5 linked regions of the Danio rerio genome follow. The protein of the gene in region 2 interacts with the protein of the main gene of each other region in a biochemical or structural test. Links are inferred from orthologs where the notes say so. Each region holds a gene or a part of one and is shown on either strand. Other genes may lie near its edges.

The links. The genes of interacting proteins can lie anywhere in the genome.
Region 1: the proteins of magi1b (region 2) and cysltr2b interact in a test that uses a peptide from one of them, tested with the Homo sapiens proteins (2 studies listed by IntAct, with this or other methods). The link is inferred for Danio rerio from reciprocal best matches to the Homo sapiens genes MAGI1 and CYSLTR2.
Region 3: the proteins of magi1b (region 2) and crhr1 form a complex in vitro, tested with the Homo sapiens proteins (2 studies listed by BioGRID and IntAct, with this or other methods). The link is inferred for Danio rerio from reciprocal best matches to the Homo sapiens genes MAGI1 and CRHR1.
Region 4: the proteins of magi1b (region 2) and fchsd2 form a complex in vitro, tested with the Homo sapiens proteins (2 studies listed by BioGRID and IntAct, with this or other methods). The link is inferred for Danio rerio from reciprocal best matches to the Homo sapiens genes MAGI1 and FCHSD2.
Region 5: the proteins of magi1b (region 2) and net1 form a complex in vitro, tested with the Homo sapiens proteins (3 studies listed by BioGRID and IntAct, with this or other methods). The link is inferred for Danio rerio from reciprocal best matches to the Homo sapiens genes MAGI1 and NET1.

Annotation. Positions count from the first base shown.
Region 1 is NC_133190.1:3,193,396-3,197,416, forward strand, and holds the end of cysltr2b (cysteinyl leukotriene receptor 2), read right to left. Parts: intron 2,726-4,021; 5' UTR 2,705-2,725; coding exon 1,718-2,704; 3' UTR 1,046-1,717; downstream 1-1,045. UniProt on the Homo sapiens protein: Receptor for cysteinyl leukotrienes. The response is mediated via a G-protein that activates a phosphatidylinositol-calcium second messenger system.
Region 2 is NC_133186.1:20,963,874-20,969,597, reverse strand, and holds the start of magi1b (membrane-associated guanylate kinase, WW and PDZ domain-containing protein 1b), read right to left. Parts: upstream 3,337-5,724; 5' UTR 2,832-3,336; coding exon 2,534-2,831; intron 1-2,533. UniProt on the Homo sapiens protein: Plays a role in coupling actin fibers to cell junctions in endothelial cells, via its interaction with AMOTL2 and CDH5. May regulate acid-induced ASIC3 currents by modulating its expression at the cell surface.
Region 3 is NC_133178.1:20,602,751-20,607,757, forward strand, and holds part of crhr1 (corticotropin-releasing factor receptor 1), read left to right. Parts: intron 1-1,230; coding exon 1,231-1,366; intron 1,367-4,285; coding exon 4,286-4,327; intron 4,328-5,007.
Region 4 is NC_133193.1:4,387,766-4,392,772, forward strand, and holds part of fchsd2 (F-BAR and double SH3 domains protein 2), read right to left. Parts: intron 4,672-5,007; coding exon 4,494-4,671; intron 2,614-4,493; coding exon 2,393-2,613; intron 1-2,392. UniProt on the Homo sapiens protein: Adapter protein that plays a role in endocytosis via clathrin-coated pits. Contributes to the internalization of cell surface receptors, such as integrin ITGB1 and transferrin receptor.
Region 5 is NC_133179.1:12,143,158-12,147,723, reverse strand, and holds the end of net1 (neuroepithelial cell-transforming gene 1 protein), read left to right. Parts: intron 1-57; coding exon 58-154; intron 155-243; coding exon 244-320; intron 321-405; coding exon 406-663; intron 664-758; coding exon 759-929; exon of another isoform or gene 930-1,119; intron 1,120-1,435; exon of another isoform or gene 1,436-1,525; coding exon 1,526-1,712; intron 1,713-1,805; coding exon 1,806-2,242; 3' UTR 2,243-3,521; downstream 3,522-4,566. UniProt on the Homo sapiens protein: Acts as a guanine nucleotide exchange factor (GEF) for RhoA GTPase. May be involved in activation of the SAPK/JNK pathway Stimulates genotoxic stress-induced RHOB activity in breast cancer cells leading to their cell death.

The DNA.
Region 1 (4,021 bases), on a different chromosome or scaffold from region 2:
TGTCTGGAATCTGATTGACTGATAGGCGTGCGATATTCTGCAAATAACAGCACTCGTCTAGCCTCTTCACCCTTCACCCTTGTGTATTACTCCGCCTACATACAGCAACAAGCAGAGGACGCTCTAGTTTGACAAATATTACAGCTGTTGGACAACATCATGTACTTTGAGGCTTTTTTAGTCGATAATGTAGTCGTTTAGATTGCAAATATGCAGTTTATCTTAGTAAGGATCTTTACTGAACAAATAAACAGCTTAAACCAGCCTAAGCCGATTAGGCTGGGAGGTGGGAGATGACCAGCGAAAACCAGCTTGACCAGCCTAGCCAGACTGGTAGCCCAACTAAAACCAGCTATATCCAGTTTAAACCAGGCTAACTGATTAACTGATCAAGCTGGAAGATTACCAGCTAAAACCAGGCTGGAAACCAGCATGAAAAAGGCCAAAACCCCTTTGAAACCAGGCTGATTGACCAGCTAAAACCAGCCAACCAATAGATGTGTTTAAGCTGTTTTTTCAGGATAGATAGTGCCTATTTTAAATATTTATAACTTCTGAGAGACAGCGCGTCGATGGCCATTAGCTTGTCATTGAGCGGAGCAAAGACAGTTGACGTTGTTTATCCACAAGATGGTGTCAGAGACTGCATAATAAGTCCTTCGAGGAGGAAAACATCGTAATTTTTAACTACAGCTGATCAGATCATTCTAGAACTGATAACTGGTAAGACTAGTTCAGTAAACAGAAAGAAAGAAGAAATGCCTGCATGTGTTTACTGTTTTTCCTTATCGCAAACACAATAGTATTCTGCTAGCGTTTGCATTGCTTTAGCTTTTTCAGGGGTTAAGTATTGTGATTTCCCGAATGCAACAAAGAAATATTGGGAAAGCCTTATAATTTTGAAATGTGAGTAAAAATCACTTGTTTTGTCATCACTTTAGACATTACGCTAGAGAAGCATTCAAACACTAGCTCTAAAGTGACGCTGGTGAAGTAGCAATGATTTCTGCTGTTGTGACATCAGCTGCGAATGTGAATGAATGGTGGAAGAAAGTAGTTCCTTATACAAAAGGGTTTTTGAGACTCTACTTGTTAGATTTTGTTTTTATCCACACAATTATGCCATCAAACTGCTTTAAAAACCCAATATTAAACTTGTAGCAGTGCGATATGACTTTACAGTTTATCGTCACTGGTGCACGCCTCCCAACCAGGGCAATATACAGCCATATCGCACTGCTACTTGTGTGATATTGCTCATATATAGTTTATATAAAGTTTTGTATACATTAAATTGTTTTAAACTACTGAAATGTCAACAAAAGTCTCTATGTTTAGCTGCAGAGTTAATATTTAAACACTAAAAGTGAAGACTGGAGTCCAACAATGCAATTCATGAGCATAAATAAACGGAAAACACCACTGAATCACAAAATATAGGCACAGTTAATTAACAGACATTGTTTGTTATGAACCAAAGTTTGCTATTAGCATAATAAGCACAACTTTTTTTGTTTGTTTTGCAAACGTATATACAAGTTCAGTCAACTCTAGACAGACACATAACCATCATGACTTGCGAGGTTAATCGAGTTCTTCCTTGTCGTGATCCAACACAGATATGGCCTTTTTTTCCGGGAATTTCCCCCTCTCAAGTCCCAACAGATCCCACAGACTTCATACCAGTCGTAATCGTCTCTCTTTATATGACATTTGTTTACGCTTTTACATTCTGCTCAATCATACAACTCTGTCTTCTGGGTGACTGGTGCTTCCAAAAGCGGATGAAGTTTTCCCCAACAAAAATGAACAGCAGCGGATCCAGACAGCTGTTTCCAGACGCCAGAACGTGTGTGACGACTGCCGCTTTTCTTAAAGTTTCGATGTAAAGGCAAGAATCGCCATAACCGTTGATTTTAATATCCCTCTCAGCCTCCAAAAATAGAGTTCGGACGACATGATAAGGCATGAAGCAGGCCAGGAAAATCAGTAAAACTATGATGACGAGAGAGCAGGACTTTTTCTGGTTGAACTGAGATCTTTGGTTCCTCTTCTTGAGCTTTATCAAATACACAGCCGCAAAGATATAACACACAGAGATGATCGCGAAAGGCACGACAAATCCCAAAAACAGCACACCACGGTTTAAAATGATAATAGTTTCCAAATTGGAGTGTCCCAAATCCAGACATCTGGTTTTTTCATTCTCCTCATGCGTTCCTGCTTTCAGAAGCGGGATGGAGGCCAGAGAAACGATCATCCAAATAACAACGCAGATGATCCAGGCCCGTCGTGGGTTTTGCCAGCGTACATACGCGAACGGCTTGACAATGGCCACGAACCGAACCATACTAAGTACGGTCAGAAAGTAGACACTTCCGTACATATTAATGTAGAAGACGTAAGACATGATCCGGCAGGTTACATCTCCAAAAACCCAATTGGAGTCCATGAGGAAGTAGGAGGCCCGGAAAGGCAGCGAGCACACCAGCATCAGATCCGACAGCAGGAGATTGAGCATGAGGATGTTCACCGGAGTTAAAGACACCTTTTTTCGGACTGAAGAAGCAACGAAGAAGACGAGCGAGGTGATGTTGCCGACCAGCCCGAGGAAGAAGATGAACAGGTAGGCGATGGGGTAGACGGTGTGCTTGAACTGGCTGATGGAGCAGTTGTTTGTGGGGACCGTATCCAAACTCCTCATTGTTGGTACAGGGGATTAAATCTGTGAACAAGACAGACAATGAATCAACAATAAAATGAATCATTTTCAAATTACACTCAAAAAATTGCTTATTCAAAACTATTTATTCAAAATGAGTTGGAACAATTTTGGGAGGGGACCACTTAAATGTTTTATGTTAAATCACTTAAATCTGTGTTTTGCATTAATCAATTTGTGTTAAGAGTTGTGTGGAAGCCCGCGTTTTTTACAATGTAGGAAATTCCAAAAAACTTTGGGCTCTATTTTGACGGTCCATGCGCAGAACGCAAAACGCAGGGCGCAAACGCTTTCAGGGCGTGTCAGAACGCATTTTTGCTAATTTACGGACAGGAAAATGCGCTTTGCGCCAAGGCGCATGGGCTAAAAGTGTTGAGTTTATTTTCTTAATGAGTTATAGGTGTGTTTTGAGAATAAACCAATCAGAGTCTCATCTCCCATTCCCTTTAAGAGCCAGCTGCGTCACGCCAAGAGCGCATTCGCTATTTACAGGACGCAAAGTAAGTCTAAGTGGAAAAAATGAGCATTTCACAAGCAAACAGTAAACAGTTGACAGTTTTTTTAACAGAAAACAGTTAAACAGAGCATCTACTGCATGAGAATGAGAGATAATGGATCACTTTCACTTTCGCTCTTGGATAGAGAAACCTTTATGCACAGACATCAATTAGCCTATAAATAATTAATTGCGTTTGTTAAGCGCAAACATTCGTTTCAAAACTATTTCTAAATTCAGTTCTAATTTCCAGCAAACAAATAAATGAACAATAATGACCAAGTGTGGTCAAAAACCTGAGTTATATCCTAAAACACATGCTGTGCCCCATATGGTCTAAAACCTGACAGGTGGGCAAATCTAAGCTTTTTTTAATAAAACAAATATAAATATGGATATAATAAATAATACTGCTAATAATAATAACATTTTATAAAAGCAGATTGTTATGAATGAACTGAAAAAGCCTCCCGAGATGAAGAAGACATAAAAGCAGTGATTTTTCATTTTCATGTAGGCTAGAAAATAATAAGTTTTGTAATATTTTAATCCTTTATATTTATATCCTATATCTATTCTTATTATATTCTATATATATCCTTAATATTTAAATTTTTTCATATGTAAAGATATTTGCCTGTTGCTCTCTTGTGTGTATTAAGCAGTGTGTAAGCGAGGCGCAACTCTGCGCCGGAGTTTAGACCGGGTTAGTTTTGGTCTAATGAAAAATCTATTTTAGTTTCTCAAAATAGCAACGCGCCAGCGGTCCACCTCAGAACGCCTTCCTTTTTAGACCAGAACGC
Region 2 (5,724 bases):
ACTCTTGCATTCACACACATACACAACGGCCAATTTAGCTTGCTCAATTTACCTATACTGCATGTGTTTAAACTGTAGGAGAAACCGGAGCACCCAGAGGAAACCCACGCCAACACGGAGAGAACATGCAAACTCGACACTGAAACGCCAACTGACCTAGCCGGGGCTCGAACCAGCGACCTTCTTGCTGTGAGGCAATCATGCTACCCACCGCCACCGTGACACTCTCTGTACTTTTTAATATGTTTAACTTGATTGATTAGTTTTACATTTTCTGTTAATTTATTCTGAATTCAAATTAATTTTTAATTATCAAGTTTTATGGTGTTGGGTAATTGCATTTTAATATATTTTGCAGAAAAAAAATGAACAGGCAAGACTAGCAAAATGAGCATTACTTCCCAGACCATGAATCTTTTTACATTTTCCTTACTTTAAGACTTCTAAAACTGCCATCTCTTGTAACTTTCATCTCTAAGTGGTCCAACTCTGCTGACATTACCAATAAAACTGTTTTCTCAGCTGAAGAATAAGAGGCTTATTCCATCAATCAATACAACAGCGTTGAAAGGTATTCTTATTACATATTACCTCCAGAGAGAGAGCTGCCAGGGCACAGACTGTTAGTGAGGTCACCACAGGACTGAGTGTATCTTAATGTAAAAATCAATGAGGATTAATGAGTGAATCTGTTGTGCGCTGCATTAACTGTGCCTAAGGTTATGAACAAGCCATGCTCGTGATTAGAAACACTATACAATAATAACAGTCTGCACAAATAAACAGCTCCATACAACTGCCTTGAAGACCCACAGGTGCTTGTTGTATGAACAAAAGCGTACAAACTCTTGAACCACACGTAATCCACTTCAAGCAGAGCTTAATGCATTTCATATCAATAATTCATACTGTAGTCCAAAGCACTGGGAGTTTGAGATCATCTGTGTGCTGATGTGAAAAATAAAAGACGTTTTTTCGTTGTTGTTTCGCAAACTCACAGAAACACAGATGGCATGTGTTGCCAAAAAAACATTTTCATAATTAAGGCTGGTTACAACAGAAAACTCCCAGACAGCATGATAGATTATAAACAGCGAAACTCAACACCAGAATGTATATGAGGAGTATGTGTGTGTGTGTGAGGGAGAAAGCTGGATCTGGGCCCGGTGGTGCTCTGGGAATGCAGTCCGAGTTGATTGGCTGGTTTCCTGATATTGTCTGAAGTCATTTGGTGAAATAGGCAGAAGCATAGAGAGAGGGAAAGCAGCATAACTCAAACCATGTGATGAGGCAGAGCCCTGTGGGGAGTCACCACTGCTTTAGCACAAAGGACGGTCTGTAGTGCCTTTACCTGCAAATTATGCTCACTCGTCAACTTCTCATAAAGGATTAAAGCGGAATACATCACCAATGGGTGTAGAAATGTGAAGAACGGCTTTACGTGTGAATTTATTTAGGAAATTGTACTTTAAAATGTATCAAAGACTGTACAAAAGAGTGTTCAACATTATCTGACCTTCTGTCAAAAGTTTTTTTTTTTCAGTTCAGCTAAATGTAACCTGGGGTGAAATGTTATCCAATGCCCTTGAATAGAGATTCATTCATTATCAAGTGCGAAATGCTTTACAAGAAGTGCAAAACAAGGCTGCAAATGTATGAAAAAATGCATAAGTAATGCCACATTTTAAAAACAAATGAAAAAAATGCAGAAACTACTGCAAGTCCACCATGTTTCAACAAATGAATAAACAAATAAATAAATAATCTATAGTGAATAAAAAATAAAATATTTATAATTAGGTAAAATGAGAAAATCAGATATTTATTATAATAAATCACTTACTGTAGTAATAACTCAGCTTACTGTATTTGTTGCAATAAATAAACAATAGAAAAAAAATTATTATTTATACAGACACAAATAATAATTTTAGCATATATTATGTTGGTGTGGTAATGATTATGTACAGTTTGCAAATTAGAAATAAAACAATAAATAAAATATACATACTTTTCTTACTGTATTGATCAAAAGAACTAAAATATTTATCACAAATAATTGTTTATCTATTCATATCATATTATGTTATTGGACATGAAAAATAATAACAACTACACCTCCTATCACCCCCACTAACATAACAAATAAAAATACAGAATTAAAAGATAAACTAAATAAAAATGTAGTTATAAAAGTAAAAGTAATAAAAGTAAAGGAAAACACATTATGAAATAACACAAATTAAGAAATTTTAAAATAAAAGCATGCTTCTTAACAACCACTAGCCCTATGCAGTCACATGCAAACATGAATAAATATTTTTATAAATACAGGCCTATTAGCCAACAAACCAAGTCGCCAAGCCTATATTTAGTGAACATGTGAAAATAAATAAATAAATAAATAAATAAATAAATAAATAAATAAATAAATAATACCCGGCTAATTTTAGGAAACAGTTCCTCAATGGCTTGTTTACATGAAATGCATCACACAAACCAAACAAAAGTGAAGGGGAATCGCTCTGCTTACCTTGCCTCACAGTTTTTAACCTTATAGGTCCTTTGCAGTTCTTGATCACTGTCAGCACATCATACAGCGGCAATCCAGAGACAGAAAGCGTCTCCACTTCCAGCAGTAATTCCCCCTCGGACACTTTCCCATTTCTATACTGTACGGCGGTCTCGTTAACGTGTCCGATATAGGCGAACTCTCCGTTCTCCGCGCCACCGAGCAGCTGCACGTTCAGCTCGCCACGGGCGTCCTTGGAGACCGAGCACTCGTTAACTTTGGTGGTCCAGTGATTCTTCTTCTGTACCACTTTGGACATGATGAATCAATAAAATCCGCACAGAAACAGGTGGCTCCGCTGACAGACGACAAAACGAAACACTTTCATAAAATGAAATATCCCACGCGGTAAACTTTCTTCTCCGTCCGCTCAGTCATGAATGCAGCGTCTTCGCAGCCCCAAAAGATCCAAGAAAAAGCTCAACAAAAACAAAATCAAGCCATTGTCCGGCTCTTCACTAAATGAAATTCCCACTCCGACCGCTTCCTTAATTAGCCCGTATTGTTTTCCTCATCCTCGCGCTTTAATATTCTCGGTTGCGCGCATCTGCTTGCCTTTTCATTTCATAAACCTCTTTAAATACACTTCTTCAAGTCTGAAGTTGTTTTCAAAATAGTTTAGCGGTTTCTTAAACACTTAAAGTACCATTCCAGCAGTTTTCTTTGGCACACAGGCAGTGTTAGCGAGCGTTTCCTCCTGGTTCACGGCTCCTTTAAACAGGTACAGCGTTTGACGTCTGTTTTGATACATTTCATCCTGTTCTGCCTGCTCGCGACTCGGGATGGAGCGAATGTCACTGGAGCGCATGCGCATTATTTCCCTTCGGACTCCTGAAGGCAATCCTCACTGCGCACGTCACCAGGTCCTAAAGCCCGTCACGAAAGAAATCATATTTACGAACCTAAGCCGATTTCTGGAAACTCTTGATTAAATGTCTCTCCCCATATAAATCTTCAAAGGCCCTCCAAGTAAATAAATTTAAACATACTCCATGAATAATCGCACCTGGACTTTATACAAGGCTATTATCAGCATCTAAAACTGGTTAATGACATTAATTGAAAACATATCCAGATTCAAGGTGTGAGCTGAAAATCATGAAAGATTTTTGGTTTTTTTTTTTGTGAAACTTGCTGTTTAAAAAGATAAATATTCGTTCCTCAATTTGTTGCACAACCAGTTTTGTCTGTTTGCCCAGACTGTTGCTTTGTGAAGAAATTTAGCCTGGCGTAAGCGTTCATCCCACATGAATCCTTGTCAGTCATGTTCGACCTGCCTATCATGTTTGATGTCCGAAAAAATTTCTTATTTTCCAAACTCTTACCAAAATAAATCATGATTCATTACAAATAGAATTTCCATTTGTCTATTGTCTATTTGAAGATTATTTACTAAATTCTTGGTTTTATCCTCTTGAAGATTCTTACTGGAATGAGGGTTCATTTAAATTATACAGTCAACATTTAAAGTGAATCAAAACAATTTCAAAATTGTCCTAAAACTATGAACCCTTTTCAGATTTTCGAGTTTCTCAGTAGCAGAAGTCTTAGTGGATAAACTTAGAGCACAGTGAATGGGAGTGTACAACAATTTTTTTATATATACAATCCTATTTGCTAAAATAATATAAAAATTGGCAATGATGTTTTCAAGACTTTCAGAAAATAGAAAAAAAAACTATGTGATAATGACAGACAGAAGAGAAAGCATCAAATTTGCTGTTCTGCCTATACACTATACACTGCATTTCAAACATCTGCATAAGCGGTAATTCCTATTTTATCATTTGATGCAAAGATGATAGAAAACATACATAAATAAATATAAATGTTAATATGCTTTTTTTATTAAAATATTAAAAACTTTCAAGTATTTAAGATGCTGATGACCATTAAAGACATTATAACACTGAGTTCCTTTACATGGCCACCAGTAATCAAATTTTGATATGATTAAGACAAAACTCTGATTAAGAGTTTACCATGTAAACAGAGGATTTTTCACCATGTTTTTCGGCAGTATATTCTATACACACAAAGCTGTATGACACTATTCTCCACATCTATTGAGTCAATAAAGGACTACAGACACACATCCCACGAAATGCAAAGGTTTTTTTTTCTCTCATTCGGCATGCGGTATCCAATTTCATTAAAACTTCCAACATTCTTTAATTCATAAACACATCCAATACCTCAGTTTGTCACCGGGGGCATGAATGAAATGTTTCTGAATGAAACTGAAACTGCCTAACTACAGTAAAAGCCGAAATATTAAAAATGAAACATCTGAAATTACATGAAACTCCAGAGGAAACGTGGATAGCATGATGATGCAACAACGTTTATCGATCTTTGTGCTGTAACATGTAAGACAGGATCATAAAAGGAACATTCACAAAGTAACTCGTGTAAACACCTTAATCATATTATTGCTTATTCAGATTAAGGTAAATAATTGGATTACTGATGTCCATGTGAACATAGTCAGTCTTGATAAAAGAGTCTATTGTTTGATCTGGATCCACTTCAAATTTGAACTATTGTATATGTAGTAAATTGTAAGTAAATTGCTCCATTCATGCCTTTTACATGTGCCTTGAACGCGGCTTCCAAAATCACATTAGCCTACTATACATTATGTAAAACGAACAATATATGAGTATTTCAGAATTCATAGTATTTTAAAAAAAAGTAGGTGAGAAGTATCCAGAAAACCTATTCCTGTTGCTGAGATTCTAAAGGCCACTTTCAATAGACACTTTACCTTCTCATGAGGCCATGACAGGGAATTTATGAATGAAAGTGAAGAAGTAGTGGGTTAAACAATAATAGTGCATTGGGACAGACATGAAAAGTAGTCTTGCCTATAACCACACATCAGCATTATTATGGCCCACATCAACATTATTATCAAGAAAATAATTATTATTAATGTCAATATTGTCATCATTATCACTCTCGTTTTTTTTTTTCAACATAACCAAAAGCTCCATTTCAAAGACTTCAAAGAATTTTCTTCACCTCTGTCACTTCTCGAATGTCAATGATCACTCCGTGTATTTTTCTTGCATGTGTTTGTCTTACAGCATGTTACAGCCTAACACGTAAAGGGCCGTCGTCGGGATCAGATGGGCTTCGCTGTTCACCTT
Region 3 (5,007 bases), on a different chromosome or scaffold from region 2:
TAAAGCCAATAAGACTTTCCCCGGAAGAAAAAATCTTATCAGACATAATGCAAAAATTTCCTTGCTCTATTATACATCACTTGGGAAATATAAAAAATAAAATAAAAAAATTTAGACGAGGGCTAATAATTCTGAATTCTGAATTGTTTATGCCAGAAATCATTAGAAAGTTGGGTAAAGATCACGTTCCATGAGGACATTTTGTAAATGTACTATTGTAAATATATATTCCAAACAGATTTTATTTTTTAGTAATGTGGATTGCTAAGGACTACATTTTAAAGATTTAAAGGCGATGTTGTCAATATTTAGTTTGCTTGTTTTTGTGATTCCTCGGATTTCAGATTTTAAAATAGTAATATCTTAGCCAAATATTGTCCTATCAAAGTATACATTCCGCTTATTTATTCAAATTTATAAATCTCTGTTTAAAAAATGCACTTATATCTGGTGTATGGAGCCAGAGTTGTGGATTTATGAATTCTATGAATGCAAATGTATTATTTTTGAGACTGATCTGGCTCCATACTGGTTTTGTGGTTTAGGGTCACATATTTCAATTACTGAGACAAACTCAAGTTTATTTTGCATTTTTATTTTGCTAATAATTATGGGATAGTCCTTTTATTATGTTATAATGACATGCTTTATTTCTTTTATGGCTTTAAAAACCTGGAAACTTGTTCAGAAAAAATCTTAACAATAAGGTACAAACATAAAAACATGCATACATTTATATACAAATACACTGCAACAAACAAATACATTGGATCAAATATATTATGTATAAACATAAAAATACAACTATGGGGCCAGAACTGACCATAGAAATATTCCCAATAAATAATAACATTAGAAGCTAAAACCATTTCTGAATTCTAGTGTCAACAAACAGATCTTCACAAATAGTAGTATTGTTTATTTTAATCATATACATTTTAAAAAAAAATTTTTTTTATTTATTTGTTAAAATTTTGTATTGTATTTATTCTAGTGTATTTTCTGGCCACCTGTATGTAATTTGATTTACATTTTACATAATACGATTGATACAGTATGTATTTGTATATTCTAGAGCATTTGTATGTAAATGTATATGTGTGTTTATATGTTTGCATCTTGTTGAGGCCATGGATATTGTATTTTCCCCTTGTACAGTGACGTTGAACTTGGAAAAGGCATTCTATAAATAAATCTTTTTATTATTTTTATTTCTCTGAAATCTCACAGGAAAGCAGTAAAAGCCACACTGGTTCTGCTGCCTCTGCTGGGCATCACATACATGCTGTTCTTCGTCAACCCTGGCGAGGATGAGATCTCACAGATTGTCTTCATTTACTTCAACTCTTTCCTAGAGTCCTTTCAGGTGAGCAAACACAAATTTTGGTCCTGTGCTGACATATTGTTTTATTGCTAGTCAGAATCTGATATTTACAACTCAAAAGTTTAATTACTAAGAATGAATAGATTTTTATATTTTTATTTCAAAATCTGAAGATGTGATCACACTGCAATTTTCGTCCCATAGACTTCCATACATATGCTTGGAAATTCAGACTAGAAAAACTAGCTTGTGTGACAAGTTTTGCATGTTGTGGGAATTCTGATATGGTAGTTCACATCACGTGATTGTGGGAGCCCAATATGGAGCAATAGATTGCTTTACCGATGTCTAATTATTTTTTTTTATCCCACCCTTTACTCTTCATCATGTGGTTTTAAACCTTCATAAGTTTCTTTCTTCTATTAAACACAAAGAACATTGATTTTTACAGTTAGGTTTTCCCTACTGAAGAACTGCAGAAATAGACCCAAAGAGGTTTAAAACCATGTGAGGGAGAGTAAATGATTTGGTAATCTTCATTTTTGACTGACTAAATTTAAATCCACAGTATGGACTTGTTTCTGTCATTTTGTTAATGTGTTTCTGCTTGGGTTAATTTTTCAAAAAGCTAGCTCTGACCAATAATTTATGTTTAAAATCATCTATCATTTAATCATAAATCAAGGAAAACAGGTTAACACATGTACGTGATCAATGCATTGTCAGCTTGTGAAGCGTAATTGGGTTAAGAACATGCATATAAACACACATTTGTGACTGAATCTAAATATAGCTCTGTGCTATGTAGGTGCATTCAGCACAGGTGTTTTGATTTTGTCTAAAAACAACATACTGTACACTAAAATAGTCCAACTGTTTGGTATACTCACTAAACGTTTTGCTTTTGCAAAAACAAATCCTTTTAAACCTGTTGCACAACTCATTGTTTGTTTTTGAAGTTTAGTTTTCTAGAAAATCTCACGCATGTGTTCGTAAATCCTTGTATTCTTTCTCTGAGATCTGTTTCTCATAGCAATTTAGATCTGTGTCATCTGATGCACACAAGGTCAACTCGGTCTCCTGTTTGCAGCATTTGCTTATTGGCTTGACCCTAGGGGTCTTTCACGCATGTTGAAGCCATGTTTTCCACAGATGCATCTGGCTCCACATCTGTCCAGATCCTCATGGGGATGACAGTTCATCTGTAGGGATTTTAGCAAAACATGGAGTAAAAGTTTTTGGTTTATTCTCTTTAGAAAAAAAAAAAAGTTTATTAATAAAATCAAAAAACTTTTTTTTTAAATATCATTTGAAAGGTTTCTTTGAGCTTTTTGCCTGCAGGCAGCACTTTAAAAATGGAGGAAAAGTAATTCAAAACAGATTTTTGTTTTATTACATTTCATAATGACTAAAAGCATTGTGAATGAAAAAACTGCATCTTGATAAAATAAATTATAAAAAATTTGACAGATGTTTTTGGCAAATACCATTGTCCATGGCTTAAAGACAAAAAGGAGTTTCAAGCACCAAAACAATACAGTTTATGAAGAAAAAAAAATACTTACTAAAATGGAATTAAGTGTAACGGTAGATGATACCTAATGAGTCGTGTCATATTCAAAACAAGAGTCATTAGATGGCATATTAAAATACATTTTATATGTAAGGATCAAAGTTCAGTCACAAAATGAAAAACTTATGTATATGTCTATGTATAAGTACATGTGTATAATGTTTACTTTTCACTGAAACTTGTTAAATAGACTCTGTAAAATTAGAAAAAAAAAGATGTTTAACTTTAAGAACCATTGAAAATACGGTGTTCTAATGTTAAAGACGAAGAGCTGTACAGTGGGATTTGAAGCAGAGCCTTTAGTCTATTGTGAACCACTTTAAAAAGATAACTGATTCTGAAAAAGGCATATTTTAAATGCTACGAATTGTACAAGAATTACATGACAGCTCAATTAATAATTTTAATAATTTAAACTTAATAATTTTTTAAACACCATTTTAGTGACAAAATTATTAGCCACTTTAAGCAATTTATTTCTATAGTCTACAAAACAAATCATCATTACACAATAACTTGCCTAATTACCCTAACCTGCCTAGTTAACCTAATTAACCTAGTTAAGCCTTTTAATGTCACTAAGCTGTATAGAAGTGTATCTAGTCAAATATTATTTACTGTCATCATGGCAAAGATAAAATAAATCAGTTATTAGAAATGAGTTGTTAAAACTATTATGTTTAGAAATGTGCTGAAAAAACTTCTCTCCGTTACCAGAAATTTGGGGAAAAAATAAACAAGGAGCAAATGGTTCATAATAGCAATGGTTATTAATTCTGCATACATATTTAAAAATAACAGATTTTTTTTCTCTGTTTGTGTGTGTGCGTGCGTGTGTGTGCGTGTGTGTGTGTGCTATTCAACTGCATTATGGGGTATTATATTTTATTCTAACTTTGGGTATTAAAACATTTATAAAAATGGACTTTTATTTTATTTTTAATAGTTTGAAGTCATATCTGGGTTGGGGTTGTGAATTACAGTACAAAAACCTGGTAATAAAAAATCTGTACTTATTTTGTTATTTTACTTTTTTTTTTTTTTACTGTATAATATGTTATATTCTTTCAAATCACTAAAATGTCGATAAAAGTCACCACTTTAGAGTTGTATTTTGAACATCAAAAGTAGACAGAGCATAGATAAAGGTCCCTTATAATTAATAAAGGTCCCTTATAATAAACATAATTAATAACCGTGAATAAACAGAAAACACATAAATTACAGAAACTGTTCATTTTTACAGTGCATGTTTAGTAAAGCAGTATAGTGAACTCTGTCTCAGCTTGGCTTTAAAAAGTGTTTAAACGGAAGATTGAGTGTTATTTTAAAAAGTCTATTTTTGTAATTATTTTCTCAAATGTAAATGTCTCTCGTTTTCTTTACAGGGCTTTTTTGTGTCAGTGTTCTACTGCTTTTTGAACAGTGAGGTAAGCAACTGATTTCCCTATTCTGTTTTTTTTTTTTTTGTTTTTTTTGCACACATATGCCCTCTGCTGTAACCCTGCTGTAGCTTAACTAAAGTTGTGGTGTAGTTTGTGGTGTAGTGTTTGTGTAATTTGGGCAATTCAGATTCCTTCAGCCATGGCAGTCCATTGAAACCAGACCAAAAAAGGACCCTCCTAACACTGTTAACCAAAAATCACCCTTTTGACATTCAGTAACTAAAAATAAAAAAACAACTCATAAAATATACATCCCTACGAGGTCTAAATCTGGCTTGTATTACATGCCCTTTGAAAAGGACAGTAAACCTTTGGGAATTTCCAGCCTAAATGCTCCTCTTTAGCATCATGCCCAGATCACAAGCACCAGCAGTTTTTACACATCATGTTGTCCTCTTTAAAAAAAATAAGCTTACAGGTGCTGTAAAACAATCCAGCATCGGATCCGTCTGGTCTGTTTTGTTTGTCATTTTATCCAGTGAACAAGTTGAAGTTGAGCAGAAAAGTGTGAGGTTTGATCTGAGGTCACCCTGAATCACAGATGGATATCAGAATACACCAGCAAAGCAGAGAGTACAGTGTTGCTTAACGTCAAAACGATAACATTGATCTGTTCCCGGTACATATGAAAGGGACACCGCAATGTCAGGCGCGAGACCTCCAGA
Region 4 (5,007 bases), on a different chromosome or scaffold from region 2:
ATACACTTATTAATGATTTATTGTCTCTCTCTTCTTCTCCTCGTATATTCTCTACTCTCCTCGTGATGAAGAGCAGGCAAACAGCATAGATCAACTTGATTATAAACCTAAAAGTATCCGAAATCACACACATTATACCTCTTCGGTCTCTCTCTTCTTCAGGGCCTTTCTCTCTCTTTCTCCCTCTCTCTGTCTGTCTCTCTGACATGATGAATCCTGTTTGAGCTGCGCTGCCGTTAGCCTCCTCCGTCTGGTTAATGCTAGCTTACTCATCTAACGTTACCATAAGGTCTTCTTCATAGCCTCGTTCTCCTGATCATGGGTCTGTTTAAAGAAGGTGTGTATGGAACATGCCTCAATAAAGATGCCTCCTCTCCTCTTTCTTTCCCCATTGGTTAATCCGGCCCTGCCCTCGCTCTTCACTTTGCGCACACTCCAGGATTTTATGATCTGAATGTTGGCAGGTAGGTCCCAAATTGTCCAAAATATGCTGGAAGTTTGCAACTTTTGCTTGAGCTTCTGTTAAATCCACAGATGGCAGAATCCTAGAGAGTCTAATTATAGGCTGTACTAGGTACAGTTGCCTCGAACCGGAAAAAAGCACGCTTGTCCCCCCTCTAGTTCCCCCCGACGGCCCGCGCTCATACCACAATTGGGCCTCGGCGCGCTTACGTCATCGCTGCTGCGCTGTTCAGTGAAAAGCGCTCTCTCACTCAGCAGCACAGTGGAGATTTCTCTAGTTATATCGTTTCAGTCGTTTAATATGCAGTCAAATATTTCGCCAAACAGTCCTTAGGGATGTGGTGACGCAGTCAGATATTTCGCCGAACAGATCCGCCACTTTCGGCGCTCATAAACTATCATAAAGTCCTCGTGCTGCAGGAATGAGGAGGTTTGCTGAAGGTGCAGCTGTCGTGCAGTGAGGGGTTTGCGTCTTTAATAAACTACGGCAGTTTGCGTTCACTGAACAGTAAGAATGATTAATAAATCCATATGAAACAGCCCCTTAAAAGTCACGTCTTGCTTTCAGTTTCGGGCTTTGGCGCGTTTTGCACTCACACTACAAGCATACCGCACCAAAGCCCAAGTGAACCGCGCTCAGGCCCACCTCTTATAACCGGGCCAGGGCCGGCCAAGTGAACCGTGCCTGAGCCCGATTTAGCGCACTCACACTTCTCAAACGATCTGGGAAACGGGCCTGGGCACGGTTCGGATAGCATAGTGTAAGTAGTGTTATTATATTAGTGTCATTTTGAAACTGCTGCTTCTTCTTATGTAAGGTGATCATGAGTGGTTTAAAAGGCACCTCAAATAAAATGTATTATTATTAAAAATCTAAATCAGCTGTGTAAAATGAGACAGACACGCAAAATATGCAGCACGAGAGCAGAATTGAGAAACGCCGATGTAGGGAATAGTGAATGAGGATAAAGGAGGAGCAGAGAGTCTGAATGTGTTGATTTAGGCCGTACTCACACTAGGTACAGTTGCCTCGAACTGGGCCAAAGCACGCTTGTCCCCCCTCCCATCTCCCCCGACGGCCCGCGCTCACACCACAAATGGGCTTCGGCACGCTTACGTCATCGCTGCTGCACTGTTCAGTGAGAAGCGCTCTCTCACTCAGCAGCACAGTGGAGATTTCTCTAGTTATATCGTTTCAGTCGTTTAATATGCAGTCAAATATTTCGCCAAACAGTCCTTAGGGATGCGATGACGCAGTCAGATATTTCGCCGAACAGATCCGCCACTTTCGGCGCTCATAAACAATCATAAGGCTCTCGTGCTGCAGGAATGAGGAGGTCTGCTGAAGCCGTGCAGCTGTCGTGCAGTGAGGAGTTCTTGTCTTTAATAAACTACGGCAGTTTGCGATCACTGAACAGTAAGAATGATTAATAAATCCATATGTAACAGCCCCTTAAAAGTCACGTCTCGCTTTCAGTTTCGGGCTTTGGCGCATTTTGCACTCACACTACAAGCATACCGCGACAAAGCCCAAGTGAACCGCGCTCAGGCCCACCTCTTATAACCGGGCCAGGGCCGGCCAAGTGAACCGTGACTGAGCCTGATTCAGCGCACTCACACTTCTCAAACGATACGGGAAACGGGCCTGGGCACCATACGGATAACAGTGTGAGTAGGCCCATAGTATCATTATATTAGTGTCATTTTGAAACTGCTGCTTCTTCTTATGTAAGGTGATCATGAGTGGTTTAAAGGCACCTCAAATAAAATGTATTATTATTAAAAATCTAAATCAGCTGTGTTAAATGAGACAGACACGCAAAATATGCAGCACGAGAGCAGAATTGAGAAACGCCGATGTAGGGAATAGTGGATAAAGGAGGAGCAGAAAGTCTGAATGTGTAGATTTGTGTAGATTCCCGTCTCTCACCTGTGCGTCTGTTCCCCAGTGAGCGTCTCCATTTTCGGAGGCCGTCAGATCCTCCACCAGGACGGAGGGAAAGACGCCCACTCGGCCGTTAAACTCGCCCTCCCAGAAGCCGTCGTCCTCCTGGTTGTCCTTGTTGAGGATGCGAATGATGGCGCCTTCAGGGAACGACAGCTCCTCGTCCGTCTGACCCTCATAGTCATACATGGCCTTCACAAAACTCACTGGGAGACACACAGAGGAGAGGACAGTGCTTAACAATAGGTGTGAATACAGTTGGAGCTCGTCTACATTTGCTGGAGGTGATTTGAAGACACAAGTGGACTAGTTAGGGATCACATTCTTACAATAAAGCACACTACAACACTAACGCTTCACTTTAAATAAGTTTATATAAGATTAAACCTCATTAAGGTGTGCATGTGTGTTTTGTGTTTGTTTGTGTGTTTTATGTGTGGGTTCATGTTTGTCTCTGTATGTACAATTTGTATGTGTTTGTGTGTATTTGTATATGTGTGTTTTTTGCGTGTGTTTGCTTGTTTGTATGTACAATATCTCTATGTTTTTTGTATGTTTGTTTGTGTTGGTGTGTTTTGTGTGTGTGTGTGTTTTTGTATGTGTATGTGTTGAGTGTGTGTTTTGAGTGTATGTGTGTGTGTTTGTTTGTATATGTGACAGTCTCTGTGTGTGTGTTTGTATAGTGTGTGTTTGCGTGTTTCATGAGTGTGTTTTGTGTGTTCATGTTTGTCTCTGTATGTACAATTTGTGTGTGCTTGTGTGTATTTGTGTGTTTTTGTGTGTGTTTGTGTGTGTGTGTGTGTGTTTGCTTGTTTATTTGGATGTACAATGTGTCTATGTTTTGTGTATGTTTGTATGTGTTGGTGTGTGTTTTGTGTGTGTTTGTATATGAGTGTTTGTGTGTGTGTGTTTTTTTGTACGTTTATGTCTGTGTATTGAGTGTATGTTTTGAGTGTGTGTGTTTGTTTGTATATGTGACAGTCTATGTGTGTGTGTGTTTTTATATAGTATGTGTATTTGTGTGTGTTTGTTTGCGTGTATGTGTTTTGTGTGTATTTGTATGTGTGTTTTTTGTGTGTTTGTATAAGTGTGTGTTTCTATGTGCTTGTATGTGAGTGTTTTGTGTGTTCGTGTTTTGTCTGCTTCTGTGTGTATGTTTTGTGTGTTTGTAGGTGTGTGTTTGTGTTTGCTTGTATGTGTGTTTTGTGTTTTCTTGTGTGTGTTTATATGTGTGTGTGTTTTGTGTGTGTTTGTATACGTGTGTTTTTTGTTTGTATGTGTGTTTGCTTGTGTTTGTGTCTGTTTGTATGTGTATGTGTGTGTTTGTTTGCTTGTGTGTGTTCATGTTTGTGTCTGAACGTGTTTTGTGTGTGTTTGTATGTGTGTGTTCGTGTTTGTGCTTCTTTGTATGCATGTCTGTGTTTTGAGTTTGTATGTGTGTGTTTAGTGTGTGTTTGCTTGTGTACGTGTTCATTTGTATGTGTGTGTGTTCGTGTTTTTATCTGTTTGTATGTGTGTTTGTGTGTTTGTATGTGTCTGCATACGCTTGTGTATTTGTTTTGTGTTGCGTTTGGATATGTGTGTGTTTTGTGTGTGTTCGTATGTGTTTGCTTGTGTGTGTGTTCATGTTTGTGCCTGTTTGTATGTATGTCTGTTTTGTGTGTGTTTGTGTGTGTGCATGTGTTCCTGTTTGTATGTGTGTGTTTGCATGTGTGTTTTTGTATGTGTGTATGTATGTGTGTGTGTGTGTGTTTATGTGGTTGTCTCTCGGTGTGTGTGTGTATGTGTTTGTACAGTATGTGTGTTTGTACAGTATGTGTGTTTGTACAGTATGTGTGTTTGTTTGTGTTTATGTGTATGTTTGTGCCCCCGTGCAACTGTGTGTGTGTGTAATTGTGTTTGTGGCTATTTATGTTTTGTGTGTGTGTATACAGTATATGTGTGTGTGTCTATTTGTATGTGTTTTCATGTGTGTTTTGTGTGTGTTTGTATGTTTCTTAGAGTTGTGTGTGTGTGTTTGCATGTGTGTTTTGTATGTGTGTGTTTGTGTTTTTGATTTGTATGTGTGTATGGTTGCGTGTCTTACTGCTGCTGTCTCCATTGAAGCTGCCTGATGCCAGCTCAGGCTCAGTGGAGTTGCTGGAGGAGTGTGATCTGGCGTCCAGCGCGGCGAGGGATTGGAGCATGCTCAGTACACTGTTAGAGGTGGGGAACTGCAGGTACTTCTCTGGAACGTAGCCCACCTGCCCGGTCTTATTCCGCGCCTGCAACCAACAAATGCAACACAACATTTAGAGGCAGACTTTAATGAGGAGACCTAAGGTTACGCCTTCCGTCTGCACACTACACCAGAGATTTTCAGCCCCAAAATGGGAGTGTTTTGGAAACGCTAGAGAGGCCGTTTTGGTTTTAAAATGCTGCTGCTCCGTGTCAGTGTGGATGGGGGAAAACCATAGACTGTAAAAGATGAATAGCGCAAATGAAGCTACAAGTAGGCGTGGCTAACTGTTGCCATTTTGTTAGTGCGTCATTGCGCCGACCGTGGGATACCAAACAAGGGCAAAGAGGCAGAGCTACAGACGCCTGCAAGCATTTTGCTT
Region 5 (4,566 bases), on a different chromosome or scaffold from region 2:
TTTCTGGCTGTAAAATTAGAAGCTGTGCTTATTATTTTTATCATTTTGTGTGTCCAGGCATACCATGACCCAATGCTGAAACTTTCTATTATGTCTGAAGAGGAGTTAACAGCCATCTTTGGAGATTTGGATGCTTACATTCCCCTTCATGAAGGTAAATAACCTACCATATTTACATGACACACCTAATTACTGCGTGAGATAACAAGTAGTGTTAACGTACTTTTTTTTTTACCCTATCAGATCTTCTTGATCAATTGGCAAAGGCCACAGGTACGGATGGCACAGTGAGACAGATCGGCAAGATTGTTGTTGACTGGGTAAGCATCTTTTCGTTGTTCATTATTATGAGGCAAATTAATTGTGGTTCATTCGGAATGTTAAAACTCTCACTTTCCACCACAGCTGCCAAGGTTAAATGCATACAGAGCATACTGTAGCAACCAACTAGCTGCCAAAGCCCTCCTCGATCAGAAGAAACAGGACCCAAGAGTTCAAGACTTCCTGCAGCGCTGCCTTGAGTCACCTTTCAGCAGGAAACTAGACTTATGGAGCTTCCTGGACATCCCTCGCTCACGTTTGGTCAAATACCCTCTTCTTCTGAAAGAGATTTTAAGACACACACCACCAGATCACCCAGACAAAGGAAGTCTTGAGCAAGCGGTAAGAGCAAGCACCGATCTAACAACTGCAGGCCTTCAGATACACTTGTTTTGGGGACATTCGGTTTTAATATTGCCTTCGTTCTTTGTCTCCAGATAAGTGTCATTCAAGCAGTGCTGGCTGACATAAACATGAAGAAAGGGGAGTCAGAATGTCAATACTATATCGATAAGCTGGAATATTTGGAAGACAAGCAGAAAGACCCACGCATTGAGCAGTGCAAGAGCTTGCTTTGCCATGGGGAACTTCGCAACAAAAGTGGCACGGTGAGTTTAACATCCATCACAGTCTAAACCGCTGGAGGCAAATCAGGCTTTTATTCTTGGGAATTAGAAACATAAAGCCACTATATTCCAAATAAGGCTATCAGATGGATTCAATTGGCTTCCTTTGTCTGTCAAGCACATGACACAATAACAGTGGAATCTTTGAAAGTGCCAGGAGAGAAAACTGTTGGTCCCACTTTATATTAAGTGTCCTTAACTACTATGTACTTACATAAAAAATAAGTACAATGTACTTACTGTGTTTATAATGTATTTGAGAACACTTGGGGTGCTTTTGAATTGGGATAGAGGTTGGGTTATGGACAGGTTTGGTGGCATGGGTGGGTTAAGGTGTAAGGGATGGTCAACAGTGTATTTACAAATGTATCTACAAAAGTTAATTACATGTATTTAATCAAGCATAAGTACACAGTAAATACATGTATTTACACAATAAGTACATTGTAACAAACTATTAGTTCCTGTGTAAGTACATATTAGTTAAGGCCACTTAATATAAAATGGGACCAAACTGTTTAATCAGTCTAATGTTCAAATAACATGTTAATAACCAGTGCTCTCTTCTCCCTCTTTAGAAACTGCACGTATTTCTGTTCACCGAGGTTCTGATTCTGACTCGACCTGTGACGCGGAATGACCGCCATTGCTTCCAGGTGTACCGTCAGCCAATCCCAGTCCAGGATCTTGTATTGGAAGACCTGCAGGATGGAGACGTCCGCATGGGAGGATCATTCAGAGGAGCCTTTAGTAACGCTGATAAAGGTAAGTTGACACCTCTTAGTATTGTGTGAATCACACTCTTTCCTTTTTTGTTGTTTCCTTTGGCTCAACTGAATCCTTTTTTTCTCCCTATAGCCAAAAACATTTTCCGGGTGCGCTTCCAGGACGCATCTCAGGGACAGTCGCACACACTGCAGGTCAACGACGTCTTCCACAAGCAACAGTGGCTCAACTGCCTCCGCAATGCCATGTCCACCCAGAAGGATTTGACACTCTCTGAGAATGAGCCCTTGACCACCCCAGCCACCGACGTTTGCGCCAAACGGCGCTCTTCTTCTGTCTCCACTGTCATCCAAATGGATGAAATGGATGAGAACTGTCCACGGGCTGCAGCCTCCGCCCCTTCCTCCCCTAGCTCTGAGGAGCCCCCCAGTCCTACACCCTCCGCCACCTCCACCCTCTCCTCATCCTCATCATCGTCTTCAATATCCGCCCCCATCCCCTCCCGCAAATCCAAAAAGGACAAGCGTTCGCTCTGCCCGTTGGGCAAGAGGAAGGAGACCATGGTGTAGATGGAGTGGCACCATGCGGAGGACTTGTATTTATGTGTGTGTGTATGGTTTTTACAGCAGTGTTTCTGTTACTGTCCACAATGGCAGCTATTACTACCAAATCCCTCCCCCCAGCAAACCCTCCTTGGTCCACATGGGCCGCACCAGTACCAGAAAGACAGTATTTGTGAGGCGACTGTGTGGATCTCAAGGGATTGAAGATTGAAGACGCATCCCAATCACTATGAAACACTTTGATTTGTGTGAAAGCGCAAGATCACACAACTTGTCTTGTTTACTGTTAGTTTGGTCGTTTTATTTTATTAATAATGATTTTTCTTTTTGTAATTAAAGTTTATCTTTTTTTAAACTTCTCAATAAGATATTTACTGTAGCTCTTTTTGTTTTTTAATAAAAGCACTGTGTTTAGCTTTTAGAAGGGAATACCACCCACTGAGAGGGGAAAAAGACCTCCAAAGCAATGAAAATTACTTTGTACTGAGTCTGAACCAAAGCTCTACTGGAAGGCAAGTCTTACAAGTACATTCCCATTAAACAATATTTTATCAGCTCCATTTTATATTTAAATCAGAAGGTATAGTTTTTTTTTTCAAAACAAATGCTATGTCAGTAGCAATATGATTTATACATTTCCAATTGGAAAATTTGCTCTTTTGTTTATACAAAAACCCCAAAATCTGAGCCATATTTGTTTTCCACCCCCTTAAAATGATGGATGACTTTCAATGTAGCATCTTGCATGGAGCTTTACTTGTTGAGTCCTGCCTGTATTATCATGAGGGCCCAGTGCATGTACATGCCTGTCGAAGCAGAAAGTTGATGTAAAGTGGACTGTCGTGTAAAAAGTTGAATGAGGGCTAGAGAAATGTCGAGTTGAGATTTAGAAGGAAGCTTTGGAATAGAGTTGGAAATGACTAGATGGACTTGATGATTGACGCTACTTGATATTAGCAAGCATCCATGGATTTTTGGTTTGCTGTTATTTGTCATTTCGTAGTGTCTTCATGAAGTAGGAACGTTTGAAACACTGGTGTAAAGCCAGGGTGTTGTTTTGAGAAGGAAGATGAAAAGTATGTTTAGGAGAATGAACTGTTAAAGAAGGTTAAAGTATGTTATGACCACTTCAAAAAAAAAAAAAAAAAATGTCTGTAAAAGTGTGTAACCGAAAGGAATAGATGTAAATTATTCAGAAGGACTGCTGTGGACTGTATGTACAGTATGTGGTGTAAAAATCAACTATTAAATGAACAATAAAGGTCTGTGTAAGATTTGCATCTGACAACTGAGTTCTTTCTTTTTTTTCCCTGATGTGAGTTCCTCCACTGCACTACAAATCTAAACGATTTTCCGAGACCTTATGAAACCTATAACACATGCCGATGTGATTATGAGAAAGCTATCTTGAAATTGTTTCCATAAATTCCAGATAGACAGACACTCAATAAACATACAGACACAGAATCACCCACACGCAGGTTAATTAGTTAAACTACTTCTGTGTTTTTCTCTGTTCACAATGAATCACTCAATAGTTTTTTAAATAAATCCGCCAGTGTGGGCCACATGCCTAAATCATCTTCCATTTTTAGCATTTGGATGATTTTCATACTCTGAATCTGTGTCTTATCCAGCTCTACTGCCCTAACCCCCCTCTCCATTTGATCTAGAACTTGGCAGCCGCATAAAGAAAATAAGCCTGTATTAAACAAATACCTTCATTTATCTCCTTGAACCCCCTTCACTGATGGTATTTGCCTCTGGTAATCTCTTTAGTGGGAGGCCCAAAACAAATGTGCTGTCAGGAGTCACTTAGCACGTCCGTTGATTCGCTTTGGAGTTTGGGTTCGAGTAAAACACGGTCACTTTGTTTGTCTGACGATCAATCCTAGAGTTTTGTATGTGAACACTGACGATGCTTCCCAAGAATGCGATCGGTTCTTGTTTAAAGCTAATCTCAACCAACGAGTTCACAGCATGGATTGATTTTATGTGCATTAAGTCATTTGGCAGTTGGATAATCAAAATGGCCTTTCCACGCTTGGCAAGTCTGTTTTTAGGAGGTTCAGGTTTTATGGAGATATTGCCTCATGTCTGCCTTTTAGGGATAACGGAATTTGTTCATTTTTGCCCAGGGAGGCTGTCTGCTGTTGCTGATTTACTTAAAGAAGCAAGGACAATTTTGGGAATAGGCTCATTTTACAACTTCCCTGGAGTTAAACAGTTGAGTTCTACTATTTTTGAGTTCATTCATCCAATCTTTGGGTCGGGCCGGAGCACTTTTAGCTTAGCTTAGCATAAATCTGGAGTTATATTGTGTAATAAGA